Linked DNA regions of Lytechinus pictus. Each later gene encodes a partner of the first gene's protein in a complex. Links are inferred from orthologs where the notes say so. Each region holds a gene or a part of one and is shown on either strand. Other genes may lie near its edges.

Region 1 (9,759 bases):
CGTTACAACAAACAAGTAGACTAGAGACCTTGCTTGTAATGTATACTCGTTCTACTTTGCTTACCAATTCATCACTTGTTCACTGCAACCACCCTGCCTGTGGGGAATCTACAGGTTGGACTATGGCATGCCAATGCTGTACAGAGCACACACTTTAAAAAATGATTAAAATATCACTTTTGTGACCAAAATTACTAATTTCCGTACAGTTGCAATTTATTTTTCATTAGTAACTTGGGAATAATTTTTGTATTCACTAGAGCACTCAAAAACTTGAATTTTGGGCATATTTTTGTGTACGCCCTCTATTGGTGGAAAATAATTATAATATGGCAAGAAAATTTTCATTTTTTATCACTATTTCTAATTAAGAAAAAAATAATTTAAAGAATCAAATTTACTTAAGGGCCAAGTTGTATGACGAATAGGTGTAATGGAAACTGTCAGTGTAATTTGTAAAAAAATCAAGCATTTGTCCCCAAGAAAAAGAGAAAATAAGCCAAACATTGCCATCCTTATTTTGCCACACATGGAGATATATTTTAACTGAGAACAAGGTTATAATATATCACAACCTTGTTCATTGAATGAGCATGATGAGTGCCAATTCATAAGACAATAACAGTTCATGACCCTACCATTCATTGCCTACTCAATAATGAGAACATACCCTCTTGCTGCCTGTAAACTTTTGATCAGTTTCTTGATTTTCCATATTTCGACATTCCTGTCAGCTGCAGTTTCCTCCTGTGCAGACATCTTTCTCTTATTCTGTTCCTACTCCTTGTCTCTCTTTCTCCAATCAACACTCTTGTTCACCAATAATTAGTTCCACTAACAATAACAAGACTAAAGTGTTGATTTATATTATCAGATTTGGCAAGGTTGTTGCCTAGCTTTGAGTGTGCTTATTTATTTGCACACGTTTGGCCTTCTGCAGATCTATTCAATGCAATTCCAATGCCGGTTGGTTGCAACAAATGAATGAAACTCAATCAATGGCCCCAACACGCTGTATCGACAACAGCGTGTGGCTCGTCTTGAACTGTATATTTGAAGTTTAACAGTACAAAATTCCACGATCAAACCTATTCAGGATCTTGGTCGATTAACTTCAAATCAGTTCTGTTCCAAAATGATTTGCATCGAAAATCAAGAATATGAAACAATCGCCTTTCACAATATGTTGGACACAGCACGTCTTGATATTTCGCCCATGTGATGAAAGTTCGCGATTTCCAAATAAATGCAATATGTATACGACTCAACCGGAAGTACGTATAGGTCACAACGATAACTTACGAGGGACTTACCGGGGACATAAATCATTCTGAAACTAATATTCGTTCTTATTTTCCATATAAAAATCATAGTAAAAAGAAAGAGATTATTGAAATACGATGTCATTAAAATAAACGTGATTTTATAAGTTAAACAATGTGAATTAATCAACACAATATATCTCTCGTAGAAAGAAACCCCATACAATTTAATGGATTCGTCCATTGCCCTCTATTTCACCTTTCTTTCATCGTAATGGTACATGGTACCGTGATAACTGATATAATATATTTTTTGGCCAGGAGAGATCCATCAATGCTGATATATGCTAGAATAACTCACTTGCTTTCAATTAAAGATACTGACTATCCTAGCTCTCATCTCCCATTCCCTTTTAAGATATTTCTTTTAATTCATGATTTCTTTCTCAAATCGCAAGTATTTTTTTCCTGATTGAGCAGCCTCGATCTGGTGAGATGGTAGGTCAGCAGTGATCTATTTTAGTGGTAGAGACGTCATCTTCTAATCCAACTTTTCGGAAGCGCGCGCTCAGTCGCGCTCGACCGCTTTATAGAGAATGGTTGAAGACTTGACAGACTTGAGGTTAATAAAAATTGTTGGAGGTCTAGGGGCATATTGTAAAGGCCTATATATTCAAATTTAGATCAGCACAATTCAGCGCTAAACATTTTCAGAAGGCCCGGTCAAAAAGGTTTAGAAAGGGCCAGGAAATGGTTTTCTAAATAAATTAGGAAAAAGTTTTGAAAACATAAAGTCGCCGCGGTAGGCTAATGTTCTATTGAAAAAAAAAAACAGAAATCTAGTTGGAACTTTTAAGTTTTAACCCATGGGTTAAAACTATCGAGGTTTCATGATAAATTGCTATTATCATGAAACCTCGATTATATGGCCATTGTGCCCGGCGTTTATATGCTCCTTTGCAAGTATCCTTTTTTGTCTCTCGATCATAATTATATTCTCAAACCCTCAAACATACTTTTTAATATCATTTACATAGAAAAAATGAGTCATTTGTATTTGATTTTTGTTATAAATTCATATAATTCACATCAATAAAATAAACTCTTTATTAAACTTTTTTGGCTGCACGGATTTCTTTTTTTTTTTTAAGGCATTGTTTTTATCAGAGACCAAAAGTCTTACCCCAACAACAATTTGAATTGAATATATAAACAGGAGGGATAAAAATGAAACAAGCAAAATATTGAAAATTCCATTAAATCGGAAGAATTTTATTCAGCCGAGTGAAGAGAATTTATTGAAAGTATGAATATCATGTGTGTTTGTTATAAAACGGTATACTTTGGGGACAGAGGGGCCTGTACGTATATATGATAAAAAGCTTTTTTTAAGGATTTGGATATTTAAAATGGAATTTGAATAACATCGGGGAGACTTACTTTACCTCTTTCTACGTTTCTCCAGTTTTAGACCGTCCAATTTCATATAGGAGTCATTTGGATTTATTTATGTGCATTTAAATTCACACGTAAACGTTTTCCCGAAGAGCAGACAATGGGATTCATTTAAAGACACTAGAATTCATTTATAATCATTAAAAAAGCTATGGTCAATACAATTTCAAATTTGATCATTTCAAAATGTGTCATCAGTGATTTAGATTTCGTTCTAAGGCAAAGAGGTTCGCTAATGGTCTTACAAATTAACGAATGTACTTCTTAATTTTGGGCAATGTCGGAAATTCAGAAATTGCGCAATCAATAAATAAAAAATGACCGATACCTTGAGCAACCAATTTCATTTTTGAGAGTTCAAATTAATGATGCGCAAATCGTTTGTTTTGCATGGCATCTGTATGCTCATAATATGTGTCTAATATTAATGTATAAACATGTGTTTATAATACAATCAGAATTGTTTGAATTGTGGCTATTTGTTTAGCCCAAATTTGAATTTCCACAATATCCTTAGTTTTCATCATAAAAACAATTTATATTGCATCTTTTGCAACTTTTGCGTTTCCTTTACAAAGGTGTTAAGGGCTATTCTATATATTCTTCCTTTTCACCCGACAATGCTGACTGTGTGGGCATTTCCATTGATATTTACTTTCTTCTTTTTTGTTCTTTTCAAGTTTATTACAAGTCCCAAGGGCGGATCCAAGATCTTCCAAGGGGGGGGGGGCATTTTGTACAGAAAAAAAATGAGAACCTGAAAAAAAAACTACAAAATCGAGTTTGTGCAATTAAGGAAAAATTTGACAAGTAAAAAATGGGTCCCCAAATTGCCTATGCATGACACATTCCAGCAAAAAAAAAAACCTAATATTTTGTGCCTCTCAAAAGTGGATCCACCGCTGACGTGTCCCTGTATGATAATACTTTCAACTCTAGTCAATTTCATGGGTGATCATCTGTATGTCAAATTGTCAAGCATGACGGATTTGGAAGGGAATTGGAAGGGGCCTATATGGCTCCATTCCATCAATCCGCGGTGCCTTTATTCTAGGAAAACATTATTATTCTATAAAGTACATTTTATAACAGGAAAAGTAGACCTATGAATGCCCATTCCTTTAATTGCATGCTATTAATAAAAATGCACCAATTCGGGTGATACACTTACTAGAAGAAGAATATTTTGCAGAGATAATGAACCAAAAGTGCGGGAAAATGGTTATCCTTGCGAATTCGTTAAACATATTATGCTGCTTATCTAAATTCTCAGTAGTGACTTGTTTGATAGTTATTTTAAGCGGAAAATACATTCAAGTGACAAGTAATGAAATACATTGACAAATAACCGAGGTGATCATGGCTAACGCAAAATTAAATTAAATTAAATTACATTATTTAGATGAAATTGAGCGGGAAAACCTATCATTCATCTACCGTCCTCTCTCTTAGGTTTATTATAGGCCTAGTCTTCCTATCTGACCATGCATGCATTTCTGTACCCTTCTTTGTTTTTGTTTATATAAAAAAATATAGGCCCTATATAACAATGATGATGATGATGACAGTGATGAGAGTGCTGATTGTGATAATTATCGTCATCATCATCATCATCCTCATCATCCTCCTCCTCATCATCATCATATCATCATCATCATCATCATCATATCATTATCATACTTACTTCTGGATACTTATGGAACAACTGAACGAAGTCATTATGACTCTGCATTCAGTTTCAAATTCCTTCTCCTCTTTAGGTTGGCCGGATCATGTCCTGGTGGGTCAGTGTCAAACTTGAACTTCACTGGTTCACATCTTGTCCAGTCCATTCTCAAAGACACTATGGGGGCATAACTAATTCATTACTGAGACTATTCCATGGTTTTCTCATTCTAATGTAAAAAGATTTCTTTTCTTTTTTCAGTGACTGATCTTAATGAGATAAACAATTATTTTATCATGACCTCGATAGTCCCATGCAACTGACCCAGATCTGGCACTACTCCTGCATGGAACTTGTAAGTTTCAATCATATCCCCTCGCGCACGGCGGTATGTCAAAGTAGGGAATTTAGTTCAGGATCAACCTTTGTTCGTATGGAAGTTGTTTGTTTTTTGGTTTTTTTAACCTCATAATCCAATTTAGTGGCCCTTCTTTGTACATTTTCTAGTGCATGAATATGTTTCTTCAAGTAGGACTCAATACGGCATGTGCATACTCTAAATGTGGTCTAATCATCACCGGGCATCATCACCATCATCATCATCATCATCATTATCATCAATGACGAGAAATAATGGGTCTACGATACATTCACCTTTTCAATAGGAATCCCCAAATTAGCGTACCATACATCAAGATGGCAGCTTCCACAGAAAACATGATTAAAAAACATTTCGAGAAGAATTGTCGAACAAAAGAACATAATGGGGTTCACTCATCGAAAGTTCACTCTGTAGCATGGAATTGTGATGGCACTATGCTTGCATCCGGATCGTTTGATAGAAATGTTTGTGTCTTTTCGCTGGATAGAGATAGGATGGTGAGTTATGTCTGAATATGACTGACTGCCGATGCCGCGCCGTGTCGCGTCGCTGCACTCTTAATCTTATCTCGCTAACCCAGGCCCAGGGAGCACCGGCCCGCTTGGCCGATTACACGAAAGGGTCTTGCAGGACCAAGCCCAAGGACCGTCTTTCGTGTCGCCCATCTTTTATTATTCGCTATATGCGGGATATTTCTGAAATGTATGATAAACAAATAAAATTTGTTAGCTAGAATTAAAATCAATTTGTATACAATTCAATTCATGATTTTCGATTCTCGTGTGTTCTCAAAGTCATGGCTCATGCCATGGAATTTTTTTGCTGTCTACGATACCCCTGCCCACCTAGCCAGGCGGCTTCTACTATAGTACTAGTTCTAGAGAGTAAAAATCATTTACTAACGTAAGGTTACTCTCATACGAAGCCAGGCCTTCTATCTCATAGACCCACACAAAGGAAGCCAAAACCTGAAACTTTCACCTCCGAGATTTCTACTTTCCTTCTAAAAGATCTAGCTCTAAATCATGTACATGGGATAAAACTTCATTTCCGACATTTCTACGTTCTCGTTGTTATTTTTAAAACAAGAATTCATCAAAAAAATGAAAAAATATTGTGAAAAGACGGAAGAGACTTGCCCGATGTTTACGCCGCCATCTTGTTTCTTATTGTACTTCCCCAACGTTACGGAGGAAGAAGATGATGATTTGTTTTGATCTCCGACATAATCGGAGGAAGGAAAAGAAGATAATGACGTTGCAGCGCGCGACACTATCCGAAGTTGTTTCTGATGATATTCACTTTCTCTACAAGTTACATCGTAGTGATGGCGGAGGTAATCGTAAACCCTTAGAGGACGCATGACTTACCGAAATAGACGCACTATTATCCTAAATTGTTTACGATGATATTCTTCTTGTCTTGTCTTGTCTTTCCGTTAATGCCCACAATCATTACAATGATTATTATGGCATATGAACGTCAAGATTGACTTGACCTTCACCTTCTCTACAACATCATAGTGATGGCAGAGGTGATCGTAAAACTCTTAGAGGACGCATGACCTACCGAAATAGACGCACTACAATCTGAAGTTGTTTCCGATGATATTGACCTTCTCTACGACATCGTGGTGATGGCGGAGGCAATCGTGAACTCTTAGAGGACGCATGACCTACCGAAAAAGACGCACTATTATCCAAAGTTGTTTACGATGATATTCACCTTCTCCCCAACATCGTAGTGTTGGCGGAGGTAATCGTAAACTCTTAGAGGTCGCATGACTCACCGAAATAGACGCACTACTATTCGAGGTTGTTTACGATGATATTCACCTTCTCTACAACATCGTGGTGATGGCGGAGTCCGTCGTGAACTTTTAGAGATCGCATTACTTACCGAAAAAGACGCACTATATGGATGAAGGTCTATCTAAACACAGAATCCTGACATTGAGGCACAAACTTGACCCTCAAAAAAAGGAAAAGTTACATCTAACTTTAGATCTAGATCCTCTTTGTTGCGTTTTTATCTCTCGCTTTCAAAATTGAAAACAAAATGGCCGATTGATACCGTGAACGAACGCGAGAACTAATGGTCATACATGTATTAGGCACAATTGAATAAGACATTTTAGGAATTAAAAAAATGAATAAAATAGATTAAAAAAGGATTAAAATTTGTTTGAGACAATTTGATTGCTCAAGTTATAACTGATATCAGCATCAATAATAAACTGTCAAACCGTATGTCAAAATTATCTAGTTTGCTTTAGTTTAGTTAGAGTTAATGTGGAAGTAGAAGAAGTGGAATTCTTTTTTTTTAGACCCTACTTGTCTCTTCGGGACAAGTCTGACTCTGAGACCCGACCAAGTTCTTTGCCATTTTCAGTTATTTGACATTGATATCCATGATAGCAGATGTTTAGCATTTAAATAAATTCAAGGCGCAAATCAAAGTTTTCTGCTATTTTCACAATTTCGAAGTTTTGTATTTTTTGATATTTTTGCCAATTGCCTGCACATGGATCTAATGGCATGCATTTGCCATATTGCTAAGTTTTTTCCTAAGCAGAGGTGCAGCATGCGATCAGCAACAGCAACAATATTGAGGGGAAAAAAATTGATAGAGCAGGGCCTTGATTAATAGCTTGAAGCTAGAAGTTCCTAAAGTAAGTCAAAGTAGTACATCCCTTATGATCCCTGTAATTCAAGATACATGTGAACTTGCAAGTTGTATAAAGTAGACCTTTCTTTAAGTTGAATATTCACCCAACTTGAAGCACTTTTTAGACCGGATTATGCAAAACATGTACTCGTATTCCTCGTTTAAGTCTAGATTGTGGGAAAGGTACTGGTACATGGGCCATCTTTATTGCAGATTATTTGTTGAATAATTCTGAGAAAGACCCATGGTCAATGCACCCATTCAAGGCAAGTGAGGGAAGGAATGCTTGCCAGGAATATTGCATTCAATGGAAACAAAATCAAATCTTTCTTCATGTTCAACTACAGATGATTCTTGTAGACAGCACATAGTTTTCTTGTTATGAATTTTTCTTCACCGTAGACCAGAGAAGCAACGTACAAGGGTCATGTCGGCAGTGTGGATCAGTTGTGCTGGCATCCCAGAAATCCAGATGTGTTTGTGACCGCATCGGGAGACAAGACGATCAGGATATGGGATACCAGGTCTGCCAAGTCTATATCAACTATAGCTACAAAGGGTATGCTCAACTATTTTTGATTTAATTTTAGCTATTTCATTCTTTTTTTTACACTGACCCAAAGGAAACCAATATGTTTGGTCTTTTAATCATGTTTGAATAATAATAATAATATAGGTATATTTACCCAGGGAAGCCACCTCAGTTCTGAAAACTGTTCTCCCAGCGGGCCCTGCTATTATTATTGCCTCGGCTTTAGCTGGGCTGCCTAGGTGCAAAGCATTCAAGGAATATCTTCCTACCGGGTACCCATTAAACATACCTGGGTTGAGTGTGCGGCACAGTGGATAAATTTCTTGCTGAAGGAAATTACGTCATGGCTGGGATTCGAACCCACGACCCTCTGTTTCAAAGTCAGAAGATTAATCCACTGGGCCACAACGCTCCACAACGCAAATAAGGCCCAATCAATTGCTGTGTTGTATTCTGTGATACCCATAGGCTTTGTCCTTGGACCAACATGCTGGTTCGAGTAGACAATCGATTACTTGAGTTTTAGAGAGAGCAAGGATAGGCATATTTATTGTAATATCAATTGTTTGATTAGAAGAGATGTTGAGATTCTAAACTTGTGAAGTTTTCAGCTTGCAACTTGTCACAAGAGAAGTTGTTGATGTTAATGTCAGATAGTACCTTATTATTTGTTAATATTGAATGGTCATAATAGTTACCAGCAACCTGTAACTTCAAAAGATCCCACAAGTATTTAGAATCAATTGTAATGCACTGTACATGTATTGCCATAAACCCACAGATACAATCACTTGTAAAATTGATTCGATTGATTTAATGTTGCAGGGTCAATGTGTGATGCACTTAATTGTGCTTCCACCATCATAAGAATATTATAAAACTGGAAGAGCAACATTAAAGAGCTACTTTATACTAGATTATAATGTCCATATCCATGGATTAGGAAAATTTCATTATTTGAATTTTTCATATCCTTGCATTTCGTTAGGTGAGAACATCAACATTTGCTGGAGTCCTAACGAGCAGTACATCGCTGTCGGCAACAAGGATGACCTTGTGACCTTTGTAGATGCTAGATCTAATCGTATCATCAGCGAGGAACAATTTAAGTATGAAGTGAATGAGATCTCTTGGAACAACGACAGTGATCTTTTCTTTTTAACGAATGGGCATGGTCACATAAACATCCTAAGGTAACTCCTACTTTTCCAAATTAATGTTATTCTTTCATGTATTTTATATGTTTGTCTAACCTGACAAGAAGCTGTTTCAGAAAGAGTTAGTGGGGGCATCGTGGTCTACTGGTTACGAATCTTGTCTTTCAATGAGAGGGACGTGGGTTTGAATCTCAGCCATGGCGTGTTTTCCTTCAGCAAGAAATTTATCCACATTGTGCTGCACTCAACCCAAGTGAGGTGAATGGGTACCCGGCACGATTAATTCCTTGAATGCACCAAGTGCCTTTAGCAGCTGGAGCTACAGGCGGGGTAATATACAGTGCGCCATTGAATAGGAAACTAGATAAATCGGCGCCTCATAAATGCTATATATTATTATTATTAGTATGACAAAATAGCACTTGTATCCTTAAATGTGTGCAGTGAGGAGGGCATCACTGCAATTGGGGATATCATTTTCAAAGCATGAGAACTCTTGTGTTTTTATCAATGAAATTACCAGTGAACCTGTCTATGCAGAGGAAACATTGAATGTGCCTACTGTGGACAGGTGTCCTTTATTGACAGGTTCTTCAAAAACATATTCTTTTCAATTGGGAAGCAATTTTAGGGGGCCA
Region 2 (10,386 bases), on another chromosome or scaffold:
TACATGTACTTGGCTGAAGAGGGCAGCATAACACAATGGGTCTTTACTTGGATCAATTACTCCATGTATAACTTACCATTGATATCCCTTTTGAAGTTGGTGTTACTGTGGCTGTTGGCTTGGCTTGTGATCCCGGTGCTGGCATTCCAAATCTATTCATTATTAAGAGACATTAAGCCAATTAAAAATATTACATATTCAGCAATAAATGATTGAAGTAATCAGGCAGGCCCTCCAAAAACTTGTTTGGTTGAACAGGACTGACCCACCCCATAAAATTGGTCTGAGCCGGCCGGCTCTTCTTTTTTGGAAGTAATTTAGAGCCAAAACATTTAAAACATTACATTTAAAAAGCTGAAGCCTTAGAATACATAAATATAACTTGCTTCCAATATTAGTGATTTTTGAGATATCCTCCCCCCTCTTTGTTTGTTTTAGTGAGATCCTTACCCCCCCCCCCCCCTTTATGGGTTCACACAGTCACACATTCATTTCCATAGTTCTCAGACATTTCAGCATAAAAACGTTTATACGACTTGTTGATCACTACAAATTTTAATCATAATCGGTTACACAATAGAGCAGAGTCTGATATCCTGCCAGCATGGATGGACAAATTGTGATCTTGCTCACTCAAAAAACAAATATAACAATGATTTTCCAGAACATTTTCATGATTTTTCAGAAAATAAAATACTTTCTAAAGTCTACCTTTCTGCTCTTGCTTTCTTCTTGTCTGCATCTGATAGTGAAGCTGCAACTCCAAACTTCTGAGCTCGTAAAGCCTTTTTCTTTTGTATTGAGAACAATAGAGGGGAAAACAATTGTAAATTAATGTACACACCATACATGTATATCACAACAACTTCTCCTAAATCTATGAATAGGTTAATAGGCCTTTTAGCAGAGATGCCAACCCTGACAGGAACATTTCAGTATTTTAAAGCTAACAAGTGGAACGCCTCTGGCAGTCTCGCCTGCATTACGCGATTTAATATAGCAGCAGTGCTAACTTTGAAAACTACAATAACATAATCATTCACAAAAACACCATTCATATAATGACATAATACCACGTTCATTGACCATAAATGACATTTGAACGGTGACTTAAGACTTGTCAACTACACCCATGTCCACATTTCATTCACTCTATCCATAAACTTTCAAAGTTATGATGGCAATTCAACAATTACCCCAACATGGCCTAAGTTTATTGACCTTAATTGACCTTTGACCTTGGTTTTGTGACCTGAAACTCACAGGGGATGTTCAGTGATACTTGATTACTCTTATATCTCAAGTTTTATGAACTAGATCTATAAACTTTCAGAGTTAGGATGGTAATTCAACAAATACCCCCAACATGGCCAAAGTTCATTGACCTTTAATGACCTTTGACCATGGTCATGTGACCTGAAACTCGTACAGGATGTTCAGTGATACTTGATTACTCTTATGTCCAAGTTTTATGAACTAGATCCATAAACTTTCAGAGTTAGGATGGTAATTTAACAAATACCACCAACACGGCCAAAGTTCATTGACCTTAAATGACCATTGACTATGGTCATGTGACCTGAAACTCGCACAGGATATTCAGTGGTACTTGATTAACCTAATGTCCAAGTTTCATGAACTAGATCCATAAATTTTAAAAGTTATGATGGTAATTCAACAAATACCCCCAACTTGGCCAAAGTTCATTGACCCTAAATGACCTTTGACCTTGGTCATGTGACCTGAAACTCAGGCAGGATGTTCACTCATACTTGATTAACCTTATGTCCAAGTTTCATGAACTAGATCCATAAATTTTCAAAGTTATGATAGTAATTCAACAAATACCACCAACTTGACCAAAGTTCATTGACCCTAAATGACCTTTGACCTTGGTCACGTGACCTGAAACTCGAGCAGGATGTTCACTAATACTTGATTAACCTTATGCCCAAGTTTCATGAACTAGGTCCATATACTTTCTAAGTTATGATGTCATTTCAAAAACTTAACCTTCGGTTAAGATTTTGAAAATAATTCTCCCAACATGGTCTAAGTTCATTGACCCTAAATTACCTTTGACCTTGGTCATGTGACCTGAAACTCAGGCAGGATGTTCAGTAATACTTGATTATCATTATGGCCAAGTTTCATGAACTAGGTCCATATTCTTTTTAAGTTATGATGTCATTACAAAACCTTAACCTTAGGTTAAGATTTGATGTTGACGCTGCCGCCGCCGTCGGAAAAGCGGCGCCTATTAATAGTCTCGCTCTGCTATGCAGGCGAGACAAAAATCTGTATTTTGGTGAGGAAATAAGTAGCTTCAAAGAAATACCGTAGGCCAACTCATAAACGGAATCTTAAGAAACCAGTATTTTGCATGAAACCATCAGTATTCTTCTCATTGTTCAGTACTGGATACTGAAAATTAGTACTAGTTGGCGTCTCTGTTTTAGCCCCCCCTTCTAAGGTTTTAACCATGATAGTTAACAAATGCGTGTATCTCCGATCTATTGCTTGATCACTCTTACCTCGACATCTGATACTGGTTTAGCAGTAGGTGAGATAACCTTCTTGATTTCAGGTGCTTTGACCTCCCTTTCCACCTCCTCCTCCTCTTCTATTTCTAATTCTACTTTTCTTGTGACAACAGCTTCTTCTTCTTCCCCTATATCTCCAGCATCAAGGTCCTAATGAAACATGTAGAAATGAGGAATAAATATACTCAAAGGTTTTGCTTTACACAGGGGATAAGCAAAGATGAGAGTCAATGATGTCTTGATGTCAAGAAATGTATTGTGAAAATAAGAGAAAATTAAAAATACAATAACTTTCATTATTTGATGTTCAATTTCAATGAAACTTGCAGTGAGAATGCATGATTGATCTTTCTCTCTTCATTCATAAGGCGGGACGTCAATATCCGGGAGGGGTGTGCAAACGCGTTTGCACGCCCTCATTACTTTTCATGCACGGGCTTGCACGCCACGAAGTTAATGAGGTTGAATTTGCATATCAATAGAGCACCCTTGCGATCATCGCGGAGTGACATAACGAGCCCGTGCAGTCGCGTTCTGGCACTTCTATTGTTCCCGGGCATTGGGATGGCAAGCCTAGAGGAATTTATTGGCGCGTGTAGAGAAGTTCCTTATCTCAATTGTTTGCCGTGAAATGTTGTGAGGGTGCAACTACTAGTACAATGAATGACGATGTGTGCCGTAATTAATTGGTTGGAAGGCGTGACAAGTATTCAAAGGGACAAGAACCTGGACGCAAAAATTTTGCTCCGGCGAATCGCTTATTCATGCTTACACCTTCGTCACATTTGCTATACGGCGGCCGTACGGCGAGTCAATAACAGCCGTTTTAACATTTTATGTACGAGCTACATAATGTGGTTTGTATAAAAATGAATAAAACGGCTGCATTCGACTCGCCGTACGGCCGCCCTAGAGCAAATGTGACCAAGGTATTAGTACCTGATGATGTGAGCTTCCAAAAATATGTATATAATTCCCGTAAATTCCTGACAAAGATGGAAAGGGAAATAAATTTAGTTTTGGCTACCAGCGGAAGTAAAATGCGATCCGTCAAAGCGTTCGATCAACCGCGGCGACCGCGCACAACGTCTACAGGCGCTGGACCCACTGAATCAGCTTGCAGAGCTCTGTTCGCTCCTGAAGATGTGACTACAACCGTGCCTATAACAATTCCAAAAGCGCTGACAAATACGGCCGCATTGTCACTTGTACTTGATTCCTCCGAATTAGTCCTCAGAAAAGTTTAGTCACGACTCAGTATCGTTCTTGCGGTATACCCGCACGCTTAATATCAGTTTGATAGATACCATGTGCGCGCAAGCATACACAATACAAGGTATTTGAGGCAGAGCTTTGCCGCTATGAAACAAAATTCTCTTTACGCTACGTATAGCTCCAATAGCTCTAGCTTTTGCAGTAGCCTACGCAGAATTTTTGAAAGGTAGAGTTCGAGTTCAATGAAAATTTGACAGAGGTTTTCACTCCCCCCCCCCCCCCATTAGGTCTTTTCATAACAAAAAAATTACAAGCAATTTTTTTTTTATCTAAGTGGAGGGGGGGGGGGGTGAACTCCTGCAACATTCCCTGACCTTACCTCGGTCATTAGTGGGTTTTCGCCCAGCGTCGTACGACGCTATCTACGACGTAGAACGATCTCTTTGTTCGTGCGTCCGTCGCGCTCAACTCTCGCTTGTAAGCAGTTTCGCAAATCGCTGAACGCGGCCGGATCCACCGGCTGGCATGGTTGGCATGTAATGTTGACACGCCAACATGTGCATTGTATATGTTCCTACTATGTGCACACAACTGGCAGTGCCATGTGTCTTGCAGTCGCGTCGTCGACCGAGCCATGCAACGGCTTTTCAATCATATTTCAATAATCATACTCGTTTAAACTTCTACTGTAACATTTTGAAATTATACTTAGCTTGATTTTAGTATAATTGAAATGGTACTCACCGAAAAAATCGCATTCGAGTCCATGTTTTGAAGCTTTCAGCTATCAGTGTAGTCAGAGTAGAGTACAACATGTGCATGCACGCGATGGGCGAATGTGTTTACATCGATCGGCTCAGCTTGCTCGCTCTACAAGCGATCTGATTGGCTGTTGACGGCTGTTGACAAATCCTACGTTCTAATGCGGACGCCCGCTAATTTGCGGAAGAACCGTCCGTGATTTGAGCTCAAGAACGCTCGGGCCTCTGTTTCCATGAAAGTTGGCGATTTTTGCACACGTACGTTCTACGTCGTACGACGCTGGGCGAAAACCCACTAATTTTGTTCTATGACGGCCGTGCGGCGAGTCAAAAACAACCGTTTTAACATTTTTTTGTTGTAATAGCTACAAACACGTGGTCTGAATAAAAATGGATAAAACAGGTGTTTCCGACTCACCGTACGGCCGCCGTAGAGCAAATATGACCGAGGCATTAGGAACGCAAAATAATGAGGATGGAAACTTGGATAAAGCAATGTTCATTATTCAATATTTGTTATGACTTCTCTTAATATCATGAAATGGCTGAGCAAATTACTTGTATATTTCTTAAAATAACTCAAAATGATGAAGAAACGAGTATTGATTTGAAATTATGAAATGATGAAGATTGACTTGCATTTTTACATTATAAATTTTTATTTTGCTTCTCAAAAGGGGGCATGGACCGACTGTGCCCCCCCCCCCCCGCCTGCATCCTCCAATGCTCATGGGTACTAGCATTCGTATTTATGCATACAACTTATTGAAATCCTCATCCATTCCCATTTCCCAGTCATGTTCTGTTCTTAATCTCCTTTGTTATTCGTTCTTTGAGTAGTTCGTAGTGGTCAAGAATTTGTTTAAATTATTCTCAAGACCCCAATGCACTTGATTTACTTCGTTTTAGGAAAGATAACTCTTAAAGTCCCTTTGAAGCTTTGAAGTGAATGCCCCGGAGCGACTTGAATGGGTTCGATTAACTACACCGTCTCGCATGTGTTGCGAACAAAGAAGGTGTGAAAATTACAATTAACAACTAACAATAGGAAGAATCCGTTTCAACTGAAGTTACGCAACGATCTCTGATAATCTCTAATTGTGCTTTCTTGACCCCAATGAATCCTCCCAAACCACATTGTCCAATGACGGAACTACTACAAGTAGTCAGCGTTTGTGAAAACGGAATGATGATCGAGGATGATATAATGGTGATGGTAATAATGATGTTGGTGATAATGAAGAAGGATAAGGAGGATGAGGATGAAAGCGGTGGTAATGATGACGATAATAACATTTTTTTGTTTTTTAATCTATAAACATAATAATGATGCACCCTATGAACAAAGGATATATCCTCTGCTCCGCCGCCCGCGGTGATGATTTATTAATGTTTTATGATGAATGTATTAATGTTTTATGATGATGACGGTGATAATGACAGTGATGAAGGTGCTGAGATTAATTATGATAATAATCCTAGTTTTGATGATTACAATGATTATGATTATGGCGATTGTGATGGCATGACAGTGGGGGAAGGGGCATGCTTGTCGAGATTGAATTTCATTTGAAAATTAAAGGTATGTCCTAGACTGAACAGTTTCATGAGTGTTTCTCACCAAGGCGAACTTCTACTTCAAGCTAATTACGGAGCTGCAACTCTCTTTAGTTGGTTCGCGATTCGACCCATGAACCTCATATACAGAGAACGAATGATCAATAACCAGGTAACATAATTGTATACGATGTCAATTATGGACGAATTTTTCTCCTTATGTCTTATTTATCGTATGGTTGACATCACAATGAGGCAAAATTTGATTGCATGGTGACTTCTTTAAAAAAATCCTAAGTTTGGGATTTTTAAGGGGAAGGTAACACTTATGCTGGATTTTCCCCAACAAATATGATTTTTGAATCTTGTAAGAATGATGGTTGAGTGAACAGGAATTGTAAATTTAGTGTAGCCTATTCATCTTGTAGACCTAAGCAGTGTGTTTTGTGAGTCGGAGTAATGTGATGGTACCTGTTACAAGCGAGAGGGCGAGATATGGTAAGACTTGGTTGAAAGGGCATTCATCATCTTTTTGTCATTTTACAAATTAAATTCTTATGTATCTCCACCCCCCCCTCAATTTCCCAGACCCCTCTCACTTCCTGGATGGTAGCCTATTCAAAACTTATTTGCCACTGAAGTGACCAGTGGCTGATAGTCATTTTTTTCTTCTTTTTATTGAATGATTACCAAGAAATTGACTTGATTATAATTTATGAAATACTTTATTGAAAAACTGAACGTTTGATTGATTACATTGCCCACTGAAATAGTTGATTTATTGATAAATTGTTGATTGATAGGAAAAGTTGATGCCCCAATTATCATTAATTAATTATCATTAATTAATTAAATTAACATTCTGCTCTGGACTTCACACGTACATGACAATAAAAATCAGTCACTCAACAGAAGGGGAGGGCGAGAGAGAGGGAGGGGGGCTAAAATGTTCTGTTGACCCTTTTCCCATCAACCTACTTCTCCCACTTACGTCAAATCTCACCCCCTATTTTCCTGACTCCAATGAACACATGACTGATTACGACCCTTTATGTGATAATCGCTTCTCTTCAAGTCGGATCTGACTTTTAGATAATAGATAATCTACACATTTTCGTTTCACGAGTCTTATTATGGTATCGGCAAAGTGAAAATAAAAGATCAATACAGTCGAGCCATAAGAGAAAAATTACGAGGAAATTAATTACGTGCAAGTCAAATATCTTAAGAGTTCAGAAAATTTTGAATACAATTAGAGCCAGGGGAGGGGGGGGGGACTTACGAAATAAGGTATACGGGGATGTGCCGCTGAAATGGGTCGCTCTTTTGGAAGAAATCTCCGGGAAATCTCTAAACATGGGGTATGGTTTTATGCTGGAAAATCCCTAAACATGCATGGCCCAAATTTTTAGATACTTGCTTTTAGATACATGGGTTCATGCCCCCAATTTTTGTCTCGCCCACCGGAGGTGAAGGCGAGACTTAGGGATCCAAATGTCGTCCGTCGTCCGTCCGTCACAAATCTAATGACACATAACTCCACAACCGTAAGTCGATTTTCAACCAAACTTGGATGGTAGATGGACTTGGGGGACCTGCATGTTATGCTGCAGTCAGAGGTCACCTGGTAAGGTCAAAGGTCATTTGCAGGTCAACCTTAAAGTTTATGTACAAGGCTCTTATGACAAGTGTTATTCCATCCCAGTCATTTCACAATGAAGTTTCGATATAATTCTCTTGCGTGCCCTCGCAAATCACGATATTTCTGGTCATTTTCATAAGTGGGCGAGACACAAAATTGCTTTTGCCTTGTTAGATATTGGCCTTAAACATGGGTCCATATTCTCGAATTTGGGGCGATAACCTTTTTTGGTCAAGTTTTAAGCCCTAATAATGCATATCAATTCCTTTCATAGGAAAAGCGCTCCTCACAATTTCCGTATATTTGGCACCGTTTGATACGCGTACCGCCTTGACCGAACTGTGCGAAGTCTGTGTGGTCTGTGTGTAGACGATAGACCGGCCGGCCCGTAAACACTATTTCTTGGGAGTGCATAAACTGTCATAATTTGGTTTATTGTGACATAATAAAATTAATCACTGTAATCAATTAATCACTGGGGGAAAGGATTAAAATGGTACCCACAAAATAAAGGGAAGTACACGAAGTGAAATTTTGTACTTTTTGCATGTCATGGATGAAGGGGGACATCCCGATAGACCGCGGGTCCGATAGACCGCGGGTCCGATAGTCCGCGGGTCCGATAGACCGCGGGTCCGATAGACCGCGGGTCCGATAGTTCGCAGTGTGTGTAAAATTATGATCAGATGTATCAAATGTCATCGAGAGGTCCAAAGGTCAAATGATACGAGACCATGGGGTTCTATCAGGTGCGGATCCATGGGGGGCCGAGGGGGAACTGCCTCACCCCTAGCTCAAAAAAAAGAGGGGGAAGAGGGGAAAAGAGAGAGAGGAAGATGGGAAAAGAAGAGAATAGAAAAGAGAGTAAGGGGGAGGAAGGAAGAGAAGAAAAAGAGAAAAGAGAGAGGAAAAGAGAGACAGAAAAGACGGGAAAAGGGAGAAGAAAAAGGGGAAAGAGAAGAGAAAAAAAGAGAGGAGGGAAAAGGAAGAGAAGAAAAGAAAGGAGAAAGGAAAAGGAGGAAAAAGAAGAAGAAAAAAGAGGAAGGAAGAGAAGAATATTTAAATAGAGAGGAAGATGAGAAGAAAGATAAGAAAAAGAGAGAGAGAGAGGAAGAGGGGAAAAGAAGAGAAGAAAAAGAGAGAGGGGGAAGGAGAGGGAGAGAAGAAAAAAATTAAAAGAGAAAAAGGGGGAAAGGAAAGAAAAAGAAAAAAGGGGGAAAAAGAAAAAAGCGGAAGAGGGAAAAGAAAGGAGAAAGAAAAGGGGAAGGAAGAGAATAATATTTAAAAAGAGAGGAAGATGGGAAGAAAGATAAGAAAAGAGAGAGAGAGGGGAATAGAGGAAAAGAGAAGAAAAAAGGAGAGAGTAAGGGGAGAAGGAAAAGGAGAAAAAGAGAAAAGAGAGAGGAAAAGAGAGAAAGAAAAGACGGGAAAAAATAGAAGAAAAGTGGGAAAGAAAAGATAGGGGAAAAGAGAAGAAAAGGGAGAAAGGAAGACAAGAAAAAAGAGAAGAAAAGGGGGAAATAAAGAGAAGACAAGGAGAGAGAGAGAGGAGGAAGGAAAAGAAGAAAAGGGGAGAGGAAGAGGGGGAAAGAAAGAGAGAAAGAAAGAGAAAGGAAGGGGATTGAGGATAAGAGAGAGAGAAAAAAAAAAAGGAGATGGGAAACGAAAGAGGGAGATGTTGACCCGGACGTCGATTTGATGTTCGAACTATAGGCGGCGCCAAAATAACATTCGAACTATGGGGCGCCGAACTGATGTTTGAACTGGGAGGGGGGGGGGGCGCGAAATTGATGTTCGAACTATGGGAGCGCCGAATTGATGTTCGATCTAGCGGGGCACCATATTGATGTTCGAACTATAGAGGAGCGCTAATTTGAATTTTGACCATAATGCGACAAATACATGTTTCAGAAGGGGGGGGGGGCAAAGTTATATTTCACATGGGGGCGCCAAGTTTATGTTCAACCGAGGGCGCCAAATTGACCTTGAACTTAGGTTGCTTCATGCAAATTCATTTTCGACCGGGGGCGCAACATTGCTCGTATTGCCTGTTTATAGTGAAATATATGTCCTGCCCAAAAAGCTTAAATTAATGCGGCTGAATTAAAATATCCCGTTTTTACGATAATTATAATAGACAAAAACAATGTTTTCAAGTTTTAAGTCTGTTTAGCGAGATAGATATCCTGTTCAGGGTCACAAAAAGGGGTTATTATCAAATTCAGCTCGCGCTACGCGCTCGCAATATTTCATCAATGAGGTATGCATCATCTGCATCAATCCTACATGTAAGTGTTAGTGTTCTTCAAGTCAACATACATAGGCCGATCCACGGGGCAAAGATTTTGCCCCCCCCCCCCCCATGGTGGCGCAAAAAAAGGGTAAGAAACAGAAAACGAAGAGAAAAGGGACAAGCAATTAGAATAGGAATTATACCTTAGTCCTTCTTAAGTCAGTATATAAAAAATTGAGCTCGCGCTTCGCGCTGGCATCAATACATTGTTTAGTTATATACGCATCCCGACCTCGCAGTTTTTTTTAAGAGAACGAGAAGCACAAGCTGAAAATATTTGATATTCTAACCTGACAACTGAAAATGTATTTTTCATTTTATCATTATAAAAGTTTTCAGCTAGCACTTCGCGCTCGCATTAATTTCTTAATAGAT

The links.
Region 2: THO complex subunit 3-like (region 1) and SAP domain-containing ribonucleoprotein-like share a complex: the UniProt entries of both Homo sapiens proteins name them as parts of the transcription/export (TREX) complex. The link is inferred for Lytechinus pictus from reciprocal best matches to the Homo sapiens genes THOC3 and SARNP.

Annotation. Positions count from the first base shown.
Region 1 is NC_087256.1:25,212,266-25,222,024, reverse strand, and holds the start of THO complex subunit 3-like, read left to right. Parts: upstream 1-5,052; 5' UTR 5,053-5,079; coding exon 5,080-5,262; intron 5,263-7,834; coding exon 7,835-7,991; intron 7,992-8,952; coding exon 8,953-9,157; intron 9,158-9,759. Other genes in the region: eukaryotic peptide chain release factor subunit 1, read right to left, coding at 671-759. UniProt on the Homo sapiens protein: Component of the THO subcomplex of the TREX complex which is thought to couple mRNA transcription, processing and nuclear export, and which specifically associates with spliced mRNA and not with unspliced pre-mRNA.
Region 2 is NC_087257.1:27,959,192-27,969,577, reverse strand, and holds the start of SAP domain-containing ribonucleoprotein-like, read right to left. Parts: upstream 4,603-10,386; 5' UTR 4,527-4,602; coding exon 4,503-4,526; intron 2,694-4,502; coding exon 2,535-2,693; intron 792-2,534; coding exon 712-791; intron 153-711; coding exon 77-152; intron 1-76. UniProt on the Homo sapiens protein: Binds both single-stranded and double-stranded DNA with higher affinity for the single-stranded form. Specifically binds to scaffold/matrix attachment region DNA. Also binds single-stranded RNA. Enhances RNA unwinding activity of DDX39A.